Bombyx mori: one gene and its partner. The protein of the gene in region 2 binds, or shares a complex with, the protein of the main gene of each other region. Links are inferred from orthologs where the notes say so. Each region holds a gene or a part of one and is shown on either strand. Other genes may lie near its edges. The genes, in order: protein-L-histidine N-pros-methyltransferase and zinc transporter zipt-7.2.

Evidence for each region.
Region 1: the proteins of zinc transporter zipt-7.2 (region 2) and protein-L-histidine N-pros-methyltransferase are in contact, whole or in part, in a crystal structure (PDB 8GZE), measured with the Homo sapiens proteins. The link is inferred for Bombyx mori from reciprocal best matches to the Homo sapiens genes SLC39A7 and METTL9. Residues at the interface, in NP_001070984.1 of Homo sapiens: Gly65, His66, Thr67, His68, Glu69; in NP_057109.3 of Homo sapiens: Arg114, Thr115, Asn118, Arg123, Gly124, Met126, Met179, Asn210, Asp213, Arg214, Val241, His245, Tyr247, Glu249, Trp255, Tyr295, Leu296, Cys297, Glu298, Asp300, Tyr306, Val307, Leu308.

The regions. Positions count from the first base shown.
Region 1 is NC_085117.1:14,642,107-14,645,945, reverse strand, and holds part of protein-L-histidine N-pros-methyltransferase, read right to left. Parts: intron 3,103-3,839; coding exon 2,879-3,102; 3' UTR 1-2,878. UniProt on the Homo sapiens protein: Protein-histidine N-methyltransferase that specifically catalyzes 1-methylhistidine (pros-methylhistidine) methylation of target proteins.
Region 2 is NC_085110.1:11,413,334-11,416,703, reverse strand, and holds zinc transporter zipt-7.2, read right to left. Parts: upstream 1,969-3,370; 5' UTR 1,865-1,968; coding exon 827-1,864; 3' UTR 767-826; downstream 1-766. UniProt on the Homo sapiens protein: Transports Zn(2+) from the endoplasmic reticulum (ER)/Golgi apparatus to the cytosol, playing an essential role in the regulation of cytosolic zinc levels.

The DNA of each region.
Region 1 (3,839 bases), on a different chromosome or scaffold from region 2:
AGAAGTTTTCACTTAAAAAACGGTCTAATTTTGGTCCAGGAAACGGGAATACGAAACTTAGACTTTTCATTTGCCTATTTTCAATATGTTCTGTTCTGTTATTCATCTATATTCGGATGAGGAGACAAATATATTTTAGATAACTTTCTCAGCACCCGCATTTCCTCTTTATAACCGCGTTGTACCATATAAAGAGTGACATTGTGATCTGTATTTTACATTGTCATTCGGCTAAATACACGATTTAAAGAAAAACACGCTTGGACAGCCAACGATGACGTAAACAACAAATTTTCATAAAAAAAGAAAAATATAATATATATCGCTAAATTACGCATGAAACCGCGGTCATAAGCTCGCTGTACCTTATACACAATTAATTTGATTGATTTCTTTCTAATACTCAAATCATTTATTATACTTAATTAATGGTTTAAATATTGATTTGACATAAATTTCTTTGTTAGAAAAAAAAAAGAATATAATCACTCGATCAACATACAGGGTGTAACAGAAGAGTTCACGATGCAGAATCGGTAATAATACTAGAAACGAAAAACGGTATTCTTTGTGAAGCTGACTTACGTTATTTTTAGCTATTTTATTATTATTGAAAAAATCGCTCTCTCATTCTACTAATAGTTATTGCATATGGAAAATCTTATTGATTTGCTAAGTGACGCATGCTTCACTTTTATTTTTTATTGCTTAGATGGGTAGCCGAGCTCACAGCCTACCTGGTTGTTAAGTGGTAGCTGGAGCCCATAGACATCTACAACGTAAATGCGCCACCCACCTTGAGATATAAGTTCTAAGGTCTCAGTATAGTTACAACGGCTGCCCCACCTTTTAAACCGAAACGCATTACTGCTTCACGGCAGAAATAGGCAGGGTGGTGGTACCTACCCGCGCGGACATACAAGAGGTCCTACCACCAGTAAAAAAAAACCTTTTAACACATATCGCATTCCATATTTCATTAATCGGCAATGTACTCGTCGTAGCTTGTATGGTCCTTACGTGTGATTCCCACCACCCTGCCTATTACTGTTGTTATACAATATAACAAAGGCTTAGACTGAATCTCAAGGCAACGTTAAGGACATGACGATGTTTACGCGCTTTAGCGAGTAATAAATCCGGTCATCGTTCTCGCCGGATCCGTCGCTTGCGACCAAGGGCTCGAAGAGTAAATTAATCCACAGACAAAACCCACCGAGTTTCTCGCCGGATCTTCTCAGTGGGTCGCGTTTTCGATCCGGTGGTAGATTATGCGAAGCACGGCTCTTGCTAGGGTCAGTATTAGCAGCTTCGTCAGGTTTGAGGCCCGCGAGCTCACCTACTTGATAGGGCTACGCTGAAATAGCCTCTCAAGGACTTCAGCTTAGATAGAAAAAAAAAACAATAAATAAAATCTCAAACGTATATAAAACATTCACTAACTCGCTCAACTTTCCTCGCGCGCGTGCGAGACCATTGACCCTGCGTCTCAGCTGATTCATAACTGAAATTACGTCACGATGATAAATATAAATGTACATAAATGGTTTTTCAATCATTATTTATTCACGTCAAGAATAAAAAAAACTTCAGAGGTGTCAAGGGACACCCGGATGGAACGAAGTTCCTTTCGATTAATTAGTGAAGGAATTGTAAATTTTTTTTAAGTTATAATAATAAATTACGGCATTATGAAGAAGAAAAAAACAATACTATGAACTAAATTACTATTGTTGAAACGCTATCTCGAGAAACTGTACTCATTACGCGGGCTAATCGGATACGAGCAATGTCACGCGATAAGCGCCTACACGTTGATTGGTCAGAATGATGGATCTAAAAAGTGTCGTGACAACTTTTCGTAAGAATTTTTTCCGTCTAGCCCCCTTTCACAACGCGCGATAAGGAACTTCGTTCCAAAACAATACAATTCAATGTAATAATAACTGTTATCACTAAAACCAATGACCGTTTACGAGAGCGCTTCTCTTACACCCTGAGTGAATCATATTATACACTTTGGTAGCGTTTCCTTAAGTTAGTAAATAACTAATATACACATACATATTTTATATAATTAACCAGTATAATACCATATAATAACCATACGGAATATATGAAAATTGGAACCAAAGTTCATTTTGTTTTTGTAATCTCAACAATGAGTAGGTACATTAAAAAAGTCACTTAATCTGTATTAAATATTTAATATCAAAAATGTTTAATTTAATATAACGAGTTATACCTGATTCATTAGGCACCGGTAAAGTATATACAATTCACTTCTATTTAAGGCATTATTACTTTGTTATTCTTAACATTATTTTTAAAATGTTTTACTGGCTGAAAATAAAAGAATGAACGGAATGTATTGTTATTTTAATATTGTATGTCAGGAATGACGAGTTATGCACGCAAGTGTAATTCGTGTCAAGTGTAATTCGATTTGTTGATACATCAACAGTCTTAATACTCTTGCAAATAAATCACGGCAGTTATATCGTGTTCAAAGCAAATACAAATTTATCAATTTTGTGTCTTTGAAAATATTTGCCCAATGGAAGGTGGACAATGTATGTCCAAAATGGTAACGAGATGTCTGTGATATAAACCTGTCAAAAATTCTAATAAGCGAGTGGCCATTATATCATAGTATATTACAGATAAAAAAAGAATTTATAGACTTCATTCATCACTGAACAACGTGTTTAATTATAATCTAATAACGATTATAAATAACGCGATTTTTTTGCGATTACAAATAAGATATCTTAGTTACATAAGTATATATTTGAAATTGACGAAACGCCTAAACTATTAGTTTAAATAAATGCAGATAAAATTCGTTAAGAGTTAATTATAAGTAATGGCTTAGCTTTCATTCGGATGGGATGGCTTTAGGCTTGAACACGTATACGGAGTCGTCGAGCCAGTAGTAGGCCTGAGCGAAGTCTCCCTCGCAGAGGTACGGCGTCCGCGTCCAGGAGACCAGCTCGTAGCCGGCTTCCTTCTCCATGAACGACACGAAGGCCGTCACCTGGTCTTCGAACTCGCAGCAGTCGTAGATCGGAAGACGCTCCTCAGGCTTATGGTCTGAGGTCGCTGAAAATTGATTTTATTCTTAATGGAACAGGTGATAGGACCTCTTGTGAATCCGCGCGGGTAGGTACCACCACCCTGCCTATTTCTGCGGTGAAGCAGTAATACGTTTCGGTTTGAAGGGTGGGGCAGCCGTTGTAACTATACTGAGACCTTAGAACTTGTATCTCAAGATGGGTGGCGCATTTACGTTGTAGATGTCTATGAGCTCCAGTTACCGCTTAACAACCAGGTGGGCTGTGAGCTCGTCCACACATCTAAGCAATTAAAAAAAAAGATGACTATATAATTACACAGCAGATGTATTAATTACCGCTCTAGCAATATCTAGCCTCATATAATGTAATGTTTAATACGTTTATATCATTTATTCTTGCCTAGCAAGTCCCGATTATGGATTCTGAAGAATGTATGAAAAGCTCATTGGTCTGAATGATTCGAGCGTCACTTATCGTAGATTTATGGGACTAAAAACGGACACTTTCCTTAATGTGTCAAGTTCAATACAAACTTCAACTCATGACACACAAACATACAATTTTCAAGCTTTAATTATCTTAGTGTGGTGTAATTTTTGTATTTAATGGAATCTGGGAATGTAAATTTCCCGACTTCGAGACGTCTGATTAACTATATAATTTGCATACGGATTAAAGATCGATGACAATACATAGTAGTAATCTTATAAATTCGATCTGACATCCTGATAGGATCAAATTAATTGTTAGATCGGATTGCTA
Region 2 (3,370 bases):
TGAATGAATACAATATAAAAATAGCACTAAAGTATGTTGTACATTTATAAAGGTCCCAACCAATATGTTAGCAGTGGCTTTCAGGAAATAAGAATTCCTTAATAAAAATACAATTTTAATATTAAAAGAAAAAAATTAATTGACATTTAATTAGCATTTTATTTCATTTGTGTATTGGATAAACCGAGGGAATGTAGCCCAAACACGAAATAAAATTAAATGAGGTACTTAAGATAATGCTGTAGATGTTAGGTGAGAAAAATGGAAAATCATAGTAAAATACCCTGAGTTTACTGAGAGTTCAATACTTTTTGGAAGAATAATAGACCATTACATGCATAAGGCAGAAGAAACACTAAATTAAGAAAACAAAACTGTAAATAAAACGTTTCCCGCAGTTTCTAATAAGTAATAAAGCAAAACTTTACAGTTTATTAGTTATTGTTCTAAAAGACAGTAAACAATAGTTTTAAATTTACTTAATAGCACTTGAAATATTAACATTTTAGGTATTCATAGATACAGCAATGGAGAAGTTATAAGTGAGAATGCTTGTTCCAATTAATAGTTTCTGACAAATTATGACAGCATTGCTACATTGATTAAACCAAATTATGAAGAAATAAGTTTTGTGAAAGTTTTCAGATGTGAGATTTATTTAGTGTAATATTATGATAATTACCTTTTTATTATTAGTTTTATTTTCAAATGTCTTTAGAGATATTCATTCCACCGATACAGGAGTTTTACAAAAAAAAAAGAAAACTTTTTGTGATGTTATTTTATTGGAATAAAAAATTACATTTTATCTAAAAATTCTATAAATTTATTCATATTGTGCTATAAGTACCATCATGTACACTCCAGCTAAGAGTGCAATTATTTCTTTAATGGATTGGGAAAATTTGTTGTTCGAGCCTTCCAATAACTCAGGGATTACTGATACTGTAGCAATATAAATAAATCCTCCTGCTGTGAAAGGTAATATCAGAGATGAGACAAGGCCTTCCCCTGAACCTCTTAAGTAAATTGAAATAAAGGTCCCTGAAATTGCTCCAAAAGCAGTAAGCAATTGTAATAGCATAGCTTTCTTTCTTGAACAGCCAGATTGGACCAAAATGGCAAAGTCACCAATTTCATGTGGAATCTCATGTAGAAGAATGGTAACTGTGGTTATATATCCGATACTTTGGCCTGCAATAAAAGAAGCTCCAATTGCAAGTCCATCAGTAAAGTTATGTGTAAAATCAGCAGCTAAATTTAAATATCCAGCAATCTTGATGTCTTCTTGTTTATTTTTATTATCCTTTGTTTTCTTTTTCAATTTATCATCAGTCTTCTTTTTGTCTCCATGAGAATGTCCATGACCCCCACTAAAAAGTCTGACAGTTTTTTCCACAACTAAAAACGTAATAATTCCACCAAGTACTCCAAGACCGACTGTTATGTCATGTGGACCATGTTCTTGGGTTCCGTGAGAATGGGAATGACTGTGACTATGCCCTTGTTTGTCGTTGTGAGGCATGAGTGCATGAGGTATTAAATGCAGGAACGCATCGCCGAGGAGTCCACCAGACGCGAAAGCTAGGAGTATTTTAAGTAAGGGCTGCTTTTCAATTGTACCATCTATGGGTATAAAGAAAAGTATAAAGAATGGCACTATACTTATAAACAATGTAGAACACAAAGCACTGACGTATAAGTTGTAATCTGGTTCATAAATTTTATCATGTTCTTTCTGTTCGTTGGCATGTTTGGAGTACTTAAAAGCTGGAGATTCGTCACTATGCGAATGTGAATGTGCATAAACTATAGTAAATGTCACAATTAAAGCAAAATATGCTATACCACTCCTTACAAACATTTTCACAATTTCACAAATTTAAAACCAATCACTTCCAAACCACACATACAGCATTGACAGCATACATGTCATAGGCGTCATAGCTTAGATATGATAGCTTTTTTTTAATGGATTATGATGTGGTAACTAAGACCTTTAAGTCATGTCTTATTTTAATTTATATTCTTAATTTTATGAAAAATGATAATATGGAGTGAAATGAAATGAAGATGATTAATTTGAGACATTAATCAACTGGGATGAAATAAAATGAAATGAGATGAGATGAGATGGGGATGAAATAGAATCTCAGTAAAATGGTGGTCATTTACTGAGATTTTTACAGTGGACTTTTTGGAGGATCCCGAGAAGTTACGTCCAGCGGCTTTGTTTCATTTTCCCACATTTGTGCACTTTCACAGATATTAAACAGTTAATAAATCACCATTAATACACATTTAAACCTGAAGAAACACTAAAATTAAATAGACAAAATAAAACAAACCACACAACTTCACTGCTCGCGTTCCCGCCAAAAATTCGTCGTAATACATTAAAGCATTCGTCAAATAGAACGCGTACTTAGCGCCGCGTTTTAACGTCGCGCTCTTTTCATGTCACACTAGATGAGTCTAACGCATAGACCTATATAGTAGGGACACGACATATTGTTCTATACGTACAATTGCTTATATAAATAGCACCCATTTTGAAGGCACATACATAAACATATATCTATCTCGTTCTTACTCAGCACTTTAACTCGCAGGAAAACAATATAACAGTATTTCAGTGCGTACATAAAATGAAACATGAATATACGTAAATGTCTCCGTCTCCGTCTAATGAGGCCGAAAATCCGCCATGCTTAGCGCGCCAAATGTCATTGTCACGTCAGTTCGGCCGTCTGTTTTGGGTTGTACATTATTTATTGACTTTGATATCGATTTAATATGATTGCTTATATAAAATTTCTTATTTTATCATGCTTGAAACATACAAAAATAATAATTAAAACATATTTTATAGGATCTCAAGAAAGTCGATGCCCCAAAACTATTATCTATATATATATTTAAATTCATTATGGAGCCCTCATCCGAAAAATCGGACACCATTTTTCGATCGGAATCTATTGATCATGACACTAATCATAAATACCTCTTTAAAATATGTCATCAAAACATATTTAGACATTCTGTTTAGATATTTCAGGAAAAAGGCTACCAACAAAATCTCTTCGGAAAAAATGTGTGCGTGTACTAGTGTACACACGTAAGAAGTGAAACTTGTTTATGGCCTTATTTTTCGAAAAATGATCTACATGCAACTTTCTAGAAATTGGTTAAATAAAGTTAAATTAGATAAAGTTTAAACAAAAGGATTTTATTATCATAGACATGAATACAAATAATACAATTATTTCACTTTACCTTTTTGCTACTAAGATTATTACAGCATTTCATTAATTGTAATAGAATTATTACTATCATTGTCATTGTCATTATATATTTTTGTAATTAATGG